Coturnix japonica: one gene and its partner. The protein of the gene in region 2 binds, or shares a complex with, the protein of the main gene of each other region. Links are inferred from orthologs where the notes say so. Each region holds a gene or a part of one and is shown on either strand. Other genes may lie near its edges.

Region 1 (8,965 bases), about 19 Mb from region 2:
AGATATTGGTGTCCTTGTTGAGGATGACCTGGAGGAGGTGAGGCGGGAGGATGGGAGGGGATTTGAAGCGTTCCTCAGGCCGGTACACATACATCTCTTGGCCGTAAGGTCCAGGTGGTGAACTTGATAAGTCTAAAGGGAAGAGGCATAAGGTGGCTCGATCACTGATCAGCTCCTAGGATGCTGAGAAGAACCCAGCAGGGTCTTTCAGGCATTGAAGTGTTTCATGAGCCCAGTCTGCGACTGGTACTGAGAAGGCTGGGATCAGCCTGTAGTGGGGCAGCTGTACAGGCTCAGCATATTTAGAAACCACAGCATCTAGGGAATAGAAGGTGACTTGTTCTGTTTCAGAGGGGTCTTCAGACCTCAGTTTCCCCTTAGCCACGTATCATATAGCAACAGATCAGACTTTCCTCAGCAGAACAAGCAGCCAGGCAAGCTGTGGGTGTATCCAAGCACGCCTGTAAGGTGGCACATGCACCGACACAACACAGGCACCCTGTGGAATCCACCCCAGGACCCCTGCACACAACTCTCAGCACTGCTGGGTCCCCCTCCCTGTTCCAAGCAGCACCCAGCCCCAGAGCAGCACCCGTTGCAGCAGGCGCAGGGGCACAGCAAGCAGTACATCTGCACAACTGCCTGACACAGAGGCTCCAAAAGAGGATACAGAAGCTGTTCAGCCTGTGTGAGGGTCCTCAGGAGCTTGTGGTCACTGTAAGATGGACAGATCGCATCTCCCATCCACATCTGACCTGCTCATTTTGGAACAGCCAGCACCCTGAAGGTTCCACCTCCTTGGAGATGAAGCTTGATGGCTTCTTTCTGGGCTTGGGCAAGGGCCTGGAGCTGAGGCTCTATCTGAGACGGGACTTAAAGCATGGAAGGCAGGCTGTGCTCAGAGCACCCTGGACTGAAACATGACTGAACTACCTGCCAGCACCACTCACCAAGCCAGCACTGCCAGCATCTGTGTGGTAACTCAACCCGCTGCTGTAACACGAGTGGAGAGAGCTTTCTGATGCGCTAGCAATAGTACAAATAGCCTCGGTGTGAAAACCAAGAGCAGCTGCTGAAAATAGCCTGGATCCTGCTCTCACCTGGCTTCTACCCCAGATCAGATGACTTACTCACAGTTGAGCAGACAGAAAGGAGAGATGTGTTCCCAGTGTTCACTGGTCTGACATGGCCATCTCAGCCGCAGGCAGGCACCAGCCCTGCTCTGGGACCATGCTAGCACAGAACAGGTTACACCAGCACAGCCTCCTTGGAGACAATGCCTCAGCTAGGAGCTGCTCAGGCCAGGGACAGGACATGCTGCCAAACATTAATCTCTGTGTGTGTGGGCCCACACCCCTGCTAAGGGGAGCTGTTTGTCCCCAGAGCAGTGAGTCTCAGAGTAGGAAGTGGAAAATAGCACATGCAAAGCTGTAATGCCACAAAAACTCACCCCGACCTGAGGTTTCGGAGCTCTCCAGGGAATCCACTTTTAAAGCGTCGAACACCTCAAAGTCAGACTTCTTGACGTGAATCAGATTGTTAATCGTCCCCATCTGGCTGGTGACCACGGGCTGGAAAGAACTAAGGTAAGAGGCTTCCTACGTTCACCCTCAGTTGAAGTGTACTCATGCTTCCCAGCTTCTCCCAGCCTGAGCTGCCTTTCTTACGCCATTACCCCTCTGCCCTTTCTACTTCCCCTCTACTGAGTTTACATCATGTTTTGGGCCCCAAAGAGGTCAAGACTTGCAGTGATAAAGCTTTGAGAGTTACCTCGGATGGGTCGTGGACCCACTGGCCATCCACAAAAAACTTGTACTGGTGCTCTCCTTCTGGGAGGTCCAGGATAGCAACGAAGTCGTTGTGGCTGTGCAGAGAGAACAGATGTACAACACCATTACTGCAGTGATGCTTTGGATGCTGTCCCAGAGAAGAGCACTTTGTCATGCACTGCCTGCCCCCTCGACCCAAACACCCATGTGCTGGGTTAGGATTGCTCATCACTCAAGGCATGGCCAGAGCAGGTGCGAGTGCCCAGAGCCCCAGGATGATTCAGATCCCTCAGGGCCCATAGAATCGTAGACTCATTAGGGTTGGAAAAAAACACTAAGATCATCTGTTCCAATCAGGACACAAGGCAAACAGGAGCTCAGCTTGCAGCCCTGCCCCACACATCGTGTGGGATCACATGATGGCAAGTGCAAGACACACTGGACAGGGCGAGTGAACAACGAATCTAAACCTGTGCTGGTACTGCAGGATGAAAGCATGAAGTGCCTGTGAAGTCTGCAGTCGAGATAATCCCGTGGCAGGTATTTGCTGGGATTATGCCCAGTCCTACATAGTGTTTCCACAGAAAACACAGGTGTACTGCAGAACAACGAGGACACTGCTATGGAAGGAGGACAGGTGAGGGACAACCAAACAACTCCCTCTAGCAGCAACACAAGCAGGCAAGGAGAAGGGCCACCAAGCTTCAGAGAGCTGCAGCACACCTGGGCAGGGCCCTGCTGCCAGGATGGCTGCTGTGTGGCATGTAATTGGGAAAGCAAGGAGGCCCATCCTGTCCTGTCCCATTTCACAGTTTCTCCCTACCACTGCAGCAGCCCCCAGGCAGGATGCTGGCTGCATATTTGTGCTCACACCTCGAGCTCGGGCATGATGAACTGTGAGAAGCCAGGTTGGGCAAAGGGAACAGCAAATGGCACTGAGAAAAACGCTCCCTGCGACTGATGGAGGAGAACACGGGGTGAGCCAAGGGGTATAGCTACCTCTTGATGAGCGGGATCTTGGTGCTCCAGTTGTTGAAGGATCCAGAGATGAAGACCTCTTTGCCTCCATCAGCCCAGCGGATGACAGTGGGCCGAGCCTGCTGGGATGGCTTCACTGACTCCTCCAGGTCAGGCTGCCATGAAACAAACTCCTTGTCCCCTGGAATCTGAGCAGAGAACACCAGAGCCGTTTCATTTCCCTCCACCTCCATTTGCACATTGCAGACAATAGTAACCTCAGGCTGGGCAGGCAGCTCCACCCATCCATCCCAGGAGATGTTTCTCCTGTGTTGCAGCTCAGCTTGTGGTTCCTGCTATGAAAGCTGTACCCCGGCACACTGCCACCCTGCCTGTATTTAGCTTGAATTAAACAGAGGGCTGCTCCCAACCAAAAATCCTCTCCTTGAAAGCAGCCTCAGCCCAGCACAGCCCCCTATGGGACACCACCCAGCACCCGACGTGAGGACAACAAAGGCAGCAGCCAGCCCCCTACCTTGGAGTCGTGGGAGCTGAAAACACTGGGGTCATCTGTGCTGCCCACCATGATCTTGTGTGGGTGCTCCTTTGTGGGATGGGCAGCGCCGGAGCCGTCGGAGCGGTGGGACTTGGAGCCATGGCGCTCACCGGACACTCGCTCGCTGGTGGTGTTTCCCATGACAGCTCAGCAGCCGCTGTGAGAGGGGGAAGAAGGCAGTGTTGCCTATGTCCGTGGGCTCCAGCAGGGAGCAGGGTGCTGCTTCCCGCTGCCTTTTGCCAGCACAGAGTGACAGCAATCCTAAAAAAGGCCCAAAGTTCTTCCCCGATGCCAAGTTTGGGAGCCGAAGGGGAATTTAACAAGCGAGACAGGCTGAACTAATTATAGGCATACCCTTATGAGCCATCGTGATAGTTAAGCCGGTAATTGTTATACCCTAAAACAAAAGTGAGTTAGACCACATCCTACACAAGTAGAAGGGCTGATGAGAGAAATAAAGCCACCCTTGAGTGGCAGATTGTCTCCCGGCACTAACAGAGCCTCTTTCACAACCCCACAGTCAGCCTGCACAGAACACAACGCTACAGCCAGCAGGAAAACAGCCGGAGAGTGAAAGTAGCAGCTGTTAACAGCTCCCAACGAGTGTGGGTGAGCCTGCGGGCAGAGCAGCACGGCTTCACGGCTGGCACAGCAACAGTGCTGCAAGTAGCAGGAGTGGAATCGGCCAGGCTGGAGTGCGGCCAGGGCAAGGAGTAACAACACGGTGTGTGCAGGCTGTGCTGCTGAGCAGGCTGCGCTCATAGCCGACCCCAGGGCTGCGTGTCTGCCCAGCGCCGGGCGATACATGGGCTGAGCCCATCGCTGGGGCAGCCGGCTGTGTTCTGCAGGGAGCCAGCCTTGATTCACTGGGTGCGTTGTGACAGCTGCGGATTTGCTTAGAACATCAAGCTATGTGCGGAGGGCCGGGTGAGGCCGCCAGCCAAAGCCTGGCTTTAAACCATTACGGGGCAATTACTCGAGTATTCCTTAAGCCCTCAGAGGGCAGCGAGCCCACGGCTCACCCCACGGCAACGATGAGATGTGCAGGGCCGCTGCAGCACCGCCCGGCACAGTGCCGGCCATAGCGGTGTCACCGGGCGCGGCGTTACGGTACCAACGGCACCGACACCCGCACCACCGCCCACAGCGTCACCCCCCGCACCGCCGCCCTGACAGCCCCACCCCCTGCCGCCTCCTGTCCGCTCCGGGCCCCCCGCCCCGCCGTGACACCCAGCACCCAACCCGGCCCCACAGCACACGGGGGCAGCGCAGCCCCCCATGGCAGCCCCGCTCGCAGCCCCACCTGCCCGCCGCCGCCGCCGCCGCCCCGCTCTCCGCCTCCGATCAAAATGGCGGCCGCCTCCACCGCCAGCCTCTGCGGGGCGCTCTGTCCCGCCCCCGCGCTGCTCTCTATGGTACCGGGCAGCCATTTTGTTTGAGGGCGGTGTGGCTTCCGGGAGAGCGGCCATCTTTGCTGTGGGAGCGCGGCCTGGTGCGAGTAGTTTGCGTTGTGCAGTGCGGGCGTTAATGAGCGCAGCCCAGAGCCTGAGCCTTCATGGAGAACAAGGACGAGCTTTATTGCCTTTCTCATGAGGAAAACGTGCCCCGTGCCCCTCCCAGCGACACCGAAACCCAAGGCAGAGTTAGGGGATGGCCAAAGCCCTCTTCACTAGGGGCTATGGGGACAGCGAGACGTAGATGAGCGTGGCCACGATGAGTCCGAGGCTGAAGAGGACCTTGAAGCTGTGTGGCACCGAGCTGCAGGGCGGCACAGAGCGGCCGTGCCCGGCCCTGCCCCGCAGCGGGTGCTCCACGCGCTGCTGCTGAGTCAGGATGGCCTCCCGCGCACCCTGCCATGCGCCGGGGCCATGCAGGCGGTACTGGTAGGGCGTGCAGGGCCCCAGCAGCACCTCCAGCGCCAGCCTGGGGTCAGTGAGGAAAAGCAGCGGCACGTTGGGCTTGACGCCCAGCTGGCAGGCGAGCTCGTCCATGTAGGGGATGTAATCCACCTGGATGGTGTGCCGCCGGCTGGCCACGTACCTGTGGGCAGGGACAGGCTCTGTGTGTGCTCATCGAGGAGGTGGTGGCAGGTTGGTGCCCCGCAGGGTTCTTACCGCTTGGCTATTTTCTCCTTGGCTTGTGTGATGTCAGCCAACATGGTGCTGGTTGGGGGCAGCTTGTGCAGACCTACAGAAGGAGAAGCAGAGAGCTGTGCTATCAGCAGTTGTGTCCCTCTGCGCCCAGCGTGGCTGCTGTGCCACAGGAAAAGCCTTTGGGCCACCAAATGGGGCAAGAGAGAGGCATGGGCAAAGAAATAAGAGAGAGAAAATGGTTTGCAGGTGAGGAGATCCATTACCAGCTGTATGTGATGAAATAAAGTGCAACACTTGTTGCAAAATGCAGTGATGTTTTATATCCCTTCATAGAAGGATGATAAAAGGAGGAGCACATGCCAGCAACTGAATAATTTGGCCTTGCCATACCCAGAGAAGTGCATTCCCGGCTCGCCTCGCTTACCCTTAAAGACACGGGTGGCCCAGCGGCTCTGCATCTCCGAGATGGGCATGATGGCTCCCAGAGGCTGGATGTAGCCAATGAAAGCCAGCGTCGGCTTCTCCAGGTCAACTGGGAACATAAACTTGTAGAGGGGGACCTGATTCTCCACCACCTTCACATAGTCCTCAAGGAAGGGGAAGGAGAAGCTGTACCCTGTGGCAAAGACTACAGCATCGATGTTTTCCTTAGTGCCATCCTCAAAGATGGCAGATGTCTCCGTGAACTCCTTGATGTTTGGCTTCACCCGCACCCTGCCCGAAATGACACGGTTGGGCAGGTCGTCGTTGATGGTCAGGTGCTGGTTGAAGACCCTGGTGAGAACAAACAGAGCTCATGCAGGACCGAGTGCAGGCAGGCCCCCATAACTCTGCCACGAACACTCACCGGTGTTTTGGCTTCAGACCATACAGAGCGTGGTCAAAGCGCATGTTGAGTTTCCTCTCCAGCATGAAGTTGCTCACGGAGAGGGGCAGCAGGCTTTGGAGGAGCTGGATGAAGCGATTGATGTAAGAGAAGTCAAAGGGGTACCCACCTTCTGCCACTCGGTGCATCACCCATGTCCCACGCTTGGTGCTGAGGAAGACCTGGTAGAAGTGAGAAGGGACACTTAATGTGAAGTGCAATGCTGGTACAAACTCAGACAGACCTGCATGGTCCAGGAATAAAAACAGGCTGTGAGCAAGGAGCAGGGGCGTGCTGAGCCTGGTTGTCTTGGGACATCACCTGCTTGGCTGTGTGGCTCAGCTCCACCGCGATGTCGATGCCTGAGTTCCCGGTGCCGACCACGATGACCCGCTTCTCCGCAAAGGCCTGTGGGCTCTTGTAGTCCCGGCTGTGCAGGTACCAGCCTTCAAACTTGTCCAGTCCTGCAGGAGAGAGCAGGGCCATGCTGGGTGGGGGTGGCTGTCATTTCCTTGAGCTAGGTGTGGGCTCTGGGAGCAGGCTGAGCCCAGTGGGAACAGCCCAGGGATGGTACCCAGGGAGGTGGTGGCATCTCCAACCTGGGAGATGGTCGGTGCCACCCTCAGCACCCTGCTTGGCTTTGGGGTTTTTGACGTGAGGGGAGCAACCACAGGCGGGGGTCAAGGCTCAGCCAGAGGGGATAGAGCTGTGAAGAGTCTTGGGGAAGAGGAAAGCATCCCTGGGGCAGGGGCACATGGCAGCGTACCAGGGAAGGCGTGCAGCGGGAGGTGTGCGTCGCTGTGGTGCCCGGTGCACACCAACACGGCGTCGAAGATGGCTGACTGCTGCTTGCCCTCGCTCTCGGTCTCCACCTCCCAGCGGCCCGTGGTGGCAAAGTCAGGGCTCTTGGACACGCGACGCACACTGGTCTGGGTGAGGGGAGCAGATGTCAGTGTCCCTGTGGTTGGTCCTGTCCCCGTGCTGCCCCCGGCCCCCAGTGCTCACCCTGAAGCGGATGTGGCGGAGCAGGTCAAAGCGCTGGGCGTACATGCGGAAGTACTCCATGATCTTGGAGTGGTGCATGTAGTTGGGGAAGTCGTCGGGGATGGGGAAGTCGCTGAAGCACATCATCTCCTTGGAAGTGTTGATGATGACGGAGTGGTAGATGCTGGCGCGGCCCTCCTCGGGCTTCTCCTGCAGGTATGGGGCATGGCTCAGTGCTGGCCAGGGGAATGTATGGCAGCCCCAAACCCACCTATGTTATGACTATCCTATCAGTCCCACAGGACTGAGACAGCCCAGATCCTGGTATCTGCCCCAGCAGCTCAGCCTCTGGCTCTCATGCATTGGCTCTGCTCTACCATTGGGCAAAACCAGTGTCATGTTAGCCAAGCAGCCCCAAACCCCATGCCAACCCCTGCATTTCCCAGGTTGTCATGCTCATGGCAAAGGCTGGGCAGGGCAGCGGAGCATGCCAGGTTGGCTCTTCTGGGGAAGAAGAGACTGGCATCACTTGACGAGTGCAGAAACAAGCTCTGGGGCTTTCCCTTGGCAAGGAGAACAAAGGCAGCGGCCTGTGCCTGTGTGTGGGAGGTAGGAGAGGTAAAGGATGAGGAGCAGCCAGGACTTTGAGAGAAAGAAGGGGCTGGGAAGGATAGGAAAGTAATGCCAGCAGCAGTGGGGCAGCTGGAGGGGGGGGAGCAGGTGGGACCAGTGGGAAGGATAGGTGGGAGCAGGACAGGCTGGGAAGGGAAGGATAGGAAACATTCACCCTGAGGCAGGAAAACAAGCCCTGGGCTGAAAGCTGGCCCCAGCAGTGGTTCCTTAGGCAGGACCAATCCTGCACTACCAGCATCCCATTCTGCACCAAGGGGAAGTCCCAGCGGTGCTTCATTAGCTGACAGTAAGCGATCCTGTCTGCGCTGCTGCCTAGGGCAACTCGGTACAGCATGGTGCTTACCTCGAACCGCCACAGCCCCCCGATGTCCCCGCTCCTCTCAAAGCAGGTGGGGGTCAGCCCTTCGTCCAGGCAGCATTTCAGAGCGCACAAGCCGGAGGCACCAGCACCGATGATGGCTACTCTCTGGGCAGCCATGTCTGGCAGTAGTGACAGCGGTGGTGGCAGGGGAGGCTGTGCCGTTGGGCACACAGAAGGTCAGTGAGTCTGATGGGTGGCACAGGAGGGATGTGTTTGTTGCCGCTCAGCCGTGCTGGATGTCCCCGTGTTTCTTGGTGTGGATGGCTGAGGTCAACTGGGCCATCACGAGATGTTTCATCTAGACATGATCTACAAGTTCCTGCACTGCCATGCCACACCTCCCGCCCGCCCTCTGCAAAGGGCTCATTATTTTCTGTAAGCAAGTAATGATGCTGAAGCCTGCCCCAGGAACTTCCTGGGTGTGGGGGCTGAGATATGGCCATGCTCCAAATTTTAGCAAGTCATTATGTGCAAAACAAGACAGAAGGCATGCTCCAGGCAGGAGTGCCAGCCTTGGTGCATGGCAGCCTGGAACAGCCGGCACCACTCCAGGTCCCCAGCGCATGTCCCCATTTGCTGTCCTTTGGGGGGCTGCGTGTGGGTTACAAGGATGGCGCTGATCTGTACTGGTGTGATCCCCAGGATCTGTTCCAGCTGTGTGTGCCTCAGGCAAGACTGCTTTGCTGTGGATGTATGCATGTGTGTGCATTCATGTAGACCCCAGCCCATGTGTATTATCAGCGCACA
Region 2 (8,393 bases):
AACAGTTCTTCATGGACAAATGGCGAAGGTTGCTTTGGGGGGAAAAAACAAAAGCCAAAAGTGGAATATAGTGATGATACTACAGATAGAAAAACTACATATAAAATGATCAGGAAACTGATTGTTTGGTGGTTTTTTTTTGCCTGTGTGAAAACTAGTTTCTGAATATGGGAGTTCAGATGGAATGCATATTGGTCACTGAAAAGATCCAAAGTGAGCAAGATGAGCTGGAAATAAGAACTCTGTGTAGAAAAGTAAATGGAGTCAACTCCATCTACCAGTGCACTAATCCAAGACAACATATTGAGTTTTTGTAGTATAGAGAAGATACTGGGTTGATATAGAGAAGATCACACTGGGCTGATCCTTCACCTAAAGCATGGTTTTGGATGAACATTTTAGCCCCCTGATTGCTTTCTACCCACAAGAATGTTCTCCAGTCATTTTCTCTATAACCATAATATCATGTTTCATGCACTCAGCCTACTCCTCAGATGGTTTATACCCAGTAGGAACACTGGCATTTGAAAATGCTGCTCAGATAAGCCACATACTTTAAAAAGCCTTCAAAAAGCCTGATGAGGAGCCAAAGGGGAGTCTGGAGGAGGAGAATGACTGGGATGGAGACCACACTGAGTGCTCCCCCGCTCCAATGCCCTGCATGCACATAAATCTGCTGCTGAACCAGGGGGTTGGTTAGGCAACCTATAGCTAAAAACTATAGATATGGTGGTTTTCCAAATGTCTTCACTAAGCAAGACATTACCTTGGATATTTTAGTTTGCATATCGAAATACATCATGGAACACTGAAAAAAAATGGCACACATCTTATGTGCAAGGCAAGTATGAGACTCTCCAGATGGGATTGCTGTGAAGCAGCTTCTATTCTGGGCCTTAACCTTAGTTGTCTTCCCTTTAGCAGCCATTTTACTTCAGAACATAATCCTCTTCCCACACAGGAGTTTGGGGCTGACATGGTACTAGCACTTACACGTCCGTGCTTACAGATGTAATCAAATAATTCACCACCAGATACATATTCCATGACCATGAAGAAGTCCGTTGGTGTGCTGATGACCTGGTACCTTCAAAATCACAAAGAAAAAATATATTAATAAGAAAGGGAAAGGCTTTGAAACAGATTACTAGCTTCTAGTCAACCCTTAACATAAGCACATGGATCTTGTGTTTATAATCATTTTTCATTGCTGAAAAAGCCATCTCTTATTTCAAGGGGCACGTCAGGATAATCTTTCACTTGTCTATGAAAGGATCTCTTTCACAGATTGACCCTTTTGCTTCAATCTTTTAAATAATCCTCTGAAATCTCTGCCAGACAACCCTATTGCATTTAGGACTTTCCTGACATTCAAGTTTCCATTTTGGCTAAGATGCGCAACAACATCTTCAGAAGTCAAAACTTCATTAAAATGGGATTGGGAACTGAGTATGTTTGGTTTACTTCATACTGAAGATATAAAAAAGGAGATCTAGATACTACATGGAGCTACCCTTGGAAAGGCATAGAAACAAAGACAAGCACCCCAAAAGATTAACATCATTCTTCAAACATTAAGCTCCTCTATATTCTAGAATTATAAACGTAAAGGAAAGTAAAAGAGTTGCCTCCTTGATGTGCAGATTTACCCTCCACCTCTGTTAAATGATCCCTGAGTGCTACAAATGCACTTCAGTTTCCCATCCGGCGTAACCCGATGGCAATGATCTGAGGTCAAAGCAGCTGTAGCAATGCATAGCAGCACCAGCTGAGGCTCCCTGTGATTTATTTCAGACATACTGTTTGCTTTTGCTATTTTATTTGTTTATTTTTCACAGCTGATAAATAGGCTTCATTTTCAGAGGTGATCAAGTGAACAGGTGACAGTCCCAGTAAAGATCAATGGGATCAGCTTAACTTTTCTGAAGTGTTTTGCTCTTGGACATCTAAGTTAATAGCACTACCATTTCTTGTATATACACATAAAGTGACGAGACACCACAAGGGTTTAAACAAGAACCTCATGTGCCATAGACTCCCCTTCACCTCTTCATCAGTGTATTTCAGGGCTGCAGTATTTAGAGGAGACTGATCAACTGAATTTAATCTCCAGGCTTTCATGGTTTGTTTGATGAATGTGTGTGCAGACTGCAAGGATGCTGGATGAGCAGCCAGGACTTTTGCTGCCTTTTTTTTGTGAAATAATACCAATCTGTTCTCCAATAAATCCACGGAACTCTGAAGTTACTCTAAAGTCAACAGTTGCTGCATGGTTAGTTATTTAACTTAGGGAGAATTTGTTTTCCCTTTCCTCTAAGTCCCAGGTATTTGCTATATCTCATGCCAGTTTTAAGGCTGACCTAAATGTCAACTTATCCTTGCAGTTACCATTCAACAGCTTTCTTTTATAGAAATGCCAAAGATATTATCGAGTGCCTCATTAATGTGAACTGGCTACACAAACCAGGGATTGAGATGGAATCCCAGAGGCAGGAGTGCAGGTGCTGATTTACAACTTAAATTCAGATTCATCAGAGTAGCAATGTTGAAAACTTAAGTCTGAATAATAAATAAAAATATATATGTTCCTTTAAGCAATGGATAATCAGGCCATGAAAACGTAAATCCTATTGACTTCAGGCCAAGGCTTCACTCTAACAGCCTGCTCATGCTGTTATTCCTCAGGCACGATTCTCCATCACTTCAAGTCATGAGATACTGACCCAACAAAGGAGAATCATAGAGACTCCTCATAAAATCCCAACGCAGGAAAGCACAGATCCTGTCTATGCATCTTTATAATGACTTCTGAATGGAAAAGTGGAAGTTTGGGCAGGTTTAGCAGAGCAAACCTTGGTGAGGCTCATGGTTGGTATAATGGCCCAAACCCCTCAGTAGGAAAAACACCTTCCAGAGTTCCTCAATGTGTGGATTGTGCCCCCATGCAAGTTAACAGGAAGGCATTACAATAGCAGCATTTTGGCTTCAACATGCAAAAACCTGACCACACATCTACCACTCTGTACAACCATAAGACATCTCTTGAAAACAAGTCAACGTGTGAAGTCTCTGCAGATAGAGGAGTAAGCTGAACGCATGGCAGAACATCTACTTACAGCTTGATAATATGAGGGTGCCGGAAGAGTTTCAGGTTTTGAATTTCTCGTTTGATCTTCCCAACCACATCCAGGCTGCGTATTTTCTGTCTGTTCAGGATTTTTACTGCCACTTTGTGCCCTGTCAGCTGGTGTTCGCCAACTAATAGAAAGAGGGCATTGCAAAGTCATTACGCGGAGCAGTTAAGATTCATATTGGAGATTAAAGATACTGAGACAGAAGATTTATAAGCTAAAAAAGGCAATAAAGAGTAGAAATTGGGGTGTTTTAAGTATAGTCTGGATATCAGGACTTTATTTTCCTCACCTTTCCTACAGGTACTCTTTCTATATTTTGTGAGTCCTATTCTATGCAGTGAAAGTGGATTCAAACACCCAATAAGCAGCAGGTTTCCAGGAAGCAAAATGATGCACCATTTCATACAATGCCCCAACCAAAAGTGCAGGAATGAGCGCACAGTGTATAAATGACTTCAAAACTAGATTGGAGATGTCAATACAAGGGAAATCCCAATCCTCAATGTGGCAATTTGGGAAAAAGAATAATTAAATCATAGAATCATAGAACGGCTTGGGTTGGAAGGGACCTTTAAGATCATCCAGTTACAACACTTTGTTTCTCTTTGCTTTACTATTTTCCCATTGCAAAGTAGGAAAAAAAAAAGAAAAGAGGGGACTTATGGCCAAAAAAAAAATGCTTAAGTAGATATGACAGAGTGAGTAAGAGGAGGTGGCCATAACCAAAAGTAATTTGCAAGGATTTAAAGCACAAAAAGGTTATGTTGATCAGAGACAAATATATTTAAATGGTGGGGGAGAACCTCCACTGTAATGCACAGGTTGAGTGCATTAAACCCAATAAACCTTGCCTTAAAACGAGACCATCACACTTCTTTAAAAAAAAAAAAAAAGATATAGGGATTTTCCCTGCCCAGAATAGGACTGCGGGATTTGCATTACTAAAATGAATTTCTATTTATACTTTCTCAAGCATGCTTCTCATTTTGATGACAAGCTGCAGGAACACCACGCTGGAGTGTAACAGCCCCAGCAAATTCTGCTTTAAGAAAAGACACAAACCTCAATGTGTGTTTTTATGCCATGCACTTGGTGCGCTCAGGTGCTACAGGGACAAATGGTGACCACAAGCTAGGAGCAGCACCGCTGTCACTGGTGGAACTGCACTAGTTTAATGGTAGTGCAAAATAAATTCAGATTCTGATCCATTTGCTATCAACAGCCTAAATAAGAAAACTCTCTGTGCGTAGGAAGCAAAATTTATAGTAAAGTTAACAGCAGAAACTGCTGGTAAGCAGATAGTTTACATCTGAACAGGTGCTTGCATCTAAAAGGGTGCTCTGGCCACAAGCTGCCCAGTCTCAGGATCTCCAAATGGGATTTTAAAGAAGGTAACATAGGGATGGCTTCCTAAGACTGCGGAGAAAACCTGCTTGCAGTATTCATTTAGGATCTCTAATTATGAATGCTACCCCCTCACTAATAGCACAGAGCAGAAGCTGTTAACAATTATGAGCAAACTCTGTTATTAGATTATTAGACTCAGTAATTTCAGAGCCTCTAAGGAGCTGATCAGAAGCAATGCATGTAAAACAGGAGGCCGGGGAAGGCAGGAGGCAGCACCAGCACCGCTCAGGGCACGCGAGGTCACTATTATTAGCCGCGAGATAAGACCTGCCAGAGATTCTTTCCTCAGTAAGAGCATCCTAAAAATAAAACACTTTTTACTGCTCTTGAAAATAAAAGCACCACTTTGCATGCCCATTTCATCCCTTCGTAATACTCAAACTACCAGATGAAATGAGAATAAACTAAGCTGTGCCGTTCAGATGCAATTTAGGGATTAGCGGAGGGTTGAAGTAGGCAGATAATTCCTCCTGGGTGGTGGCAGGAGAGCACTGAAAATAGTCAGAGGAGGCATTTTCCCTGGTGATCCTTGGGGAGGGGAGAGAAGGGCAGTGTGGGGAGGCTGTGCTGGAGTAACAGCCTGTATAGCGGCATGGGTGCCAGGGGTGCAGCAACCTGCTCGAGTTTTATAAGGGTCCAAAGCATACAGCCATGCAAGGAATTCTCCCCATCTTGTTGTGCTTTGGCCATCAGCTGCCTTGCAAAGATCTCTCTTTGCTGAGGTGGTCATGGCTATGCAGAGCAGAGGCCAGCAAAGGTAGAACAGGGGGTGTTGGGCAACTTCAGCCATCGTCTCCTAGACTTTGGATTTGTCTGATCTCCCTGGCTGGGAGTGCAATAAGCTGCATTTTGCCAGCTGCCCACAATTCATTTGCTCATGTTCAAGAACTGAAACGCACTAGGGCAATGGGGAAACTGAGGAACAGCAAAGTGGCTTATGGCAGTACTAGGAAGAAGACCTTGATCCTTGCCATTCTTCATTCTGGTCAACTCTTCCTGTCCTTGCAACAGCATAAGCTCTGAAAAAATTGGTATTAAACTCTTAGAAGAAAAAAAAACAAAGGTCATTCCTGGAGTGAATAATTATTGTTTTTAATCCCACTGCCCAACAGTTCATCTTCTTTCCATCCATGACAAACAATGTGCAACTCCGTGAAGGCTTTTCTAGCTCAAGCACACCAATAATTAAAACCAAACAGACTATTTTGTAATCCATCTTTTGCTTACAGTAAGCATTAGATACGGAGATATTCTTGTTCTAGTCCCCAGTGGCTTGTTAAGCCTACTTGAGTGTCTTGAGAGGGGGATGAAAAGACAACATAATTTGCTATGTGGTGGGAGTCCTTTAAGCCCTTTGGGTCTTTGGGGACAACGTTTCCCTTTGCTCACAGTCTCCAACCCAGCACACATTGGTGGGACAAGAAGCACTGGGAGGTCCCATGGGCTTAGCCAGGGCAAACCCAACTTTGCCACATGGAACAGGGAAAGGATGCACATGCTCCTCTGTGCTAATGGCACTGTCCTGTGCTGGTACCCAGGCTGGGCAGTGATGATGTCAGGTGGAGATGAGAAATCCTGCTCCTTCCTTCCCACTCACTGCCTAGATTAAAGCCTGAGGGGAGGAGGGAGGGCTGAGTGGCAGTATTAGAAAAGGGATTTGAGCATGTGTCTTGTCTTCTAGTGACAAGTACTCCAGTCAGCTTCCCCGCAGCTTAGAATCAGCAAACTCAGCTCCATTGGGGCAGGCAGAGGGGATGGATTTGACAGTGACTTGAAAGCACTGAGCATTGAACAGAGCCTGTAAACTCCAAAAACTGGCACCAAAGCAGACGTGGTGTGAGCATCCTTAGCTGTGACTGCATCTGTTTATGCATGGGACTGCCTGCATTACTCCAGAACTGGAGGCTGCTGGAGAAAGAAGGGAAGAGATATAATAGGATGAGTTTCTAACAGGAGACCCTCCATGTTTTATTATTTTTATAAGAGAGGAGAAAAAAGATGAGAGATTTATCCTACAGTAAGCTGAGATAGCCATTGAAGTCCTCTGGCAGATGGCTCAAAACCAAGTATCAGCTCATCCCCACAATGCCTACTGACCATGTCCCTCAGTGTCACATCTACCCTGTGTGTTTGGTGCAGCTCAGGAAGCATGGGCAGCTCAGCTTTTCACAAATGCTTTGCAAGGATTAGAAGAAGTTTAGGAAAGGGAAAGCAAAATCCTTCCCTATCAGCTGTGCTGGTCCTTAGCTTAGCCTGAAGTTACAAATGAAATCAATCCAAAGCATATATTTAGCAATGACATATTTGTTCTGTCCCAGTGCCACTTGCTCAGATGCTGTATCACCTTTCCTTTCCTCTTTCTTTCATCTGTTCAGCCTCTTTCAGTTGATCATCCCTCAGTGCAATGTTTGTCTTTCAGCAACAAATGTATAATGGGAATTGACCCCTACTTGAGGCTGAGTAATGGAGATAAACATAACCCAAGAACTGCTCATGGTGCAATGGCCGTGACTGGGATAGAGCTCTTTGTGGGGTGGGATATGCCTGGTGCACTCACAGCACTGATGTGTCCCACTTGCTCCTTCCCACTTCCAGAGGGAGAGATAACATCCTTTCCCTCATTGTTTCATAGAATCATAGAATGGCTTAGATTGGAAGGGACCTTAAAGATTATCTACTTCTACCTCCCTCTGCCATAGGCTGGTTGCCATCTATTAGATCAGTCTGCCCAGGGCCCCCATCCAACTTGGCCTTGGCCACCTCCAGGGATGGGGCATCTGCAATAAGAAACATGCTGCTGATGGCACCACCAAAACTATCATATACAACAAACACACAGCGTGAAGCAATCAGGAAGAGAAGTCTCCTCTCCCATGTTTCCTGCCAAACATGATGAGCACACCTGAAAGCTCATTAGGTTAAAACAGTGCTATTCTGCATTGCTCCAGTCAAACTCTAACTGGAGTTAAAGGGGGAAAATATACACGTAGAAAAGCTGCTAAGCCACAATGGATGGAGTTTGGAAATCTTTTTATGTTATTTTATATGTCCTTTGGAAGTCTGTTCTTAACCAATTGGGTGATATATGGTGTTGGGGGGGAAGGGGGGGAGATATTCACGCTACTCCTGAAGGGTCCTTAAGGAAATCAGGTTGTTGTTAGCAGGCTTCATTTGGTCTGCAAGAAAAAAGAAATCACCTTTGGGGCACTTTTTGAGGTCTGTTGGTACACAGGAGCGATTTGAATGGTCCTTTCTTTTAGAAGTGTTTATCCTGATAATTCTTTGGTTGGTAAATTCGTGGTTTGGGATTAAACATAGCAATATATTTTTAGGGGGCTGATTAATGGCCACAGGTGGATTTAGCTGCAGTGGTTAAGGTGTTTTCTCTGCCCTGCTGTCAATCTGGGGTTATTTAGATACGTGGGCAGGGGACAGCTGAGCAGGATGGGGTTCCACTCTGCCCCCAGCACCCAGACCTGCTGTCTGCTGGGAATCACAGCTCCTCACTCTGCTTGTATCACACGTTTGTGTAGAGGTGTTTTGTTCTTTTGTTTTTGTGGGGCTTGTTAATATCATGACTCGGGGGGAAAACGTGCACATAACGGTAGAACTGAAAGGAATAGAAATCTTTGCATCGGGAAAAGCAAAGCCAGTGCCTGGCTTGAGTGCGAGAACCATCAACCAGAGACATCCATCCCCGCGTGGCTCCATCGCTGACACCCCCACCCCAAAATGGGTGGGGGCAGCAGCGGAACCTCCTCACCCCCCACCTCCCAGGACCGAAGCGTTCTTCAAACAGCAGCGGAAAGTCACCGGCACCCGCCCCCCCGCATCACCTTCCTGCCGCCGAGG

What was found.
Region 1: the proteins of PRKAA2 (region 2) and PRKAB2 are in contact, whole or in part, in a crystal structure (PDB 6B2E), measured with the Homo sapiens proteins. The link is inferred for Coturnix japonica from reciprocal best matches to the Homo sapiens genes PRKAA2 and PRKAB2. Residues at the interface, in NP_006243.2 of Homo sapiens: Gly9, Arg10, Val11, Lys12, Ile13, Thr21, Asn48, Arg49, Val58, Gln66, Gln81, Val82, Ile83, Ser84, Thr85, Pro86, Thr87, Asp88, Phe89, Met134, Met164, Ser165, Asp166, Gly167, Glu168, Phe169, Leu189, Ala191, Glu194, Pro253; in NP_005390.1 of Homo sapiens: Val60, Ser61, Gln64, Glu67, Asp68, Ser69, Thr73, Gln74, Ala76, Pro78, Thr79, Val80, Ile81, Arg82, Ile106, Ser108, Val113, Ile115, Val155, Ser158, Asp159, Phe160, Glu161, Phe163, Asp164, Lys167, Leu168, Gln191, Met193, Tyr194.

Annotation. Positions count from the first base shown.
Region 1 is NC_029523.1:4,166,265-4,175,229, forward strand, and holds the start of PRKAB2 (5'-AMP-activated protein kinase subunit beta-2), read right to left. Parts: upstream 4,661-8,965; 5' UTR 4,586-4,660; intron 4,079-4,585; exon of another isoform or gene 3,440-4,078; 5' UTR 3,424-3,439; coding exon 3,262-3,423; intron 2,936-3,261; coding exon 2,769-2,935; intron 1,865-2,768; coding exon 1,771-1,864; intron 1,572-1,770; coding exon 1,451-1,571; intron 133-1,450; coding exon 1-132. Other genes in the region: dimethylaniline monooxygenase [N-oxide-forming] 5-like, read right to left, coding at 4,959-5,322, 5,397-5,469, 5,800-6,149, 6,223-6,422, 6,562-6,704, 7,007-7,169, 7,246-7,434, 8,201-8,335. UniProt on the Homo sapiens protein: Non-catalytic subunit of AMP-activated protein kinase (AMPK), an energy sensor protein kinase that plays a key role in regulating cellular energy metabolism.
Region 2 is NC_029523.1:23,037,855-23,046,247, reverse strand, and holds part of PRKAA2 (5'-AMP-activated protein kinase catalytic subunit alpha-2), read right to left. Parts: exon of another isoform or gene 7,664-8,393; intron 3,259-7,663; coding exon 3,117-3,258; intron 1,088-3,116; coding exon 994-1,087; intron 1-993. UniProt on the Homo sapiens protein: Catalytic subunit of AMP-activated protein kinase (AMPK), an energy sensor protein kinase that plays a key role in regulating cellular energy metabolism.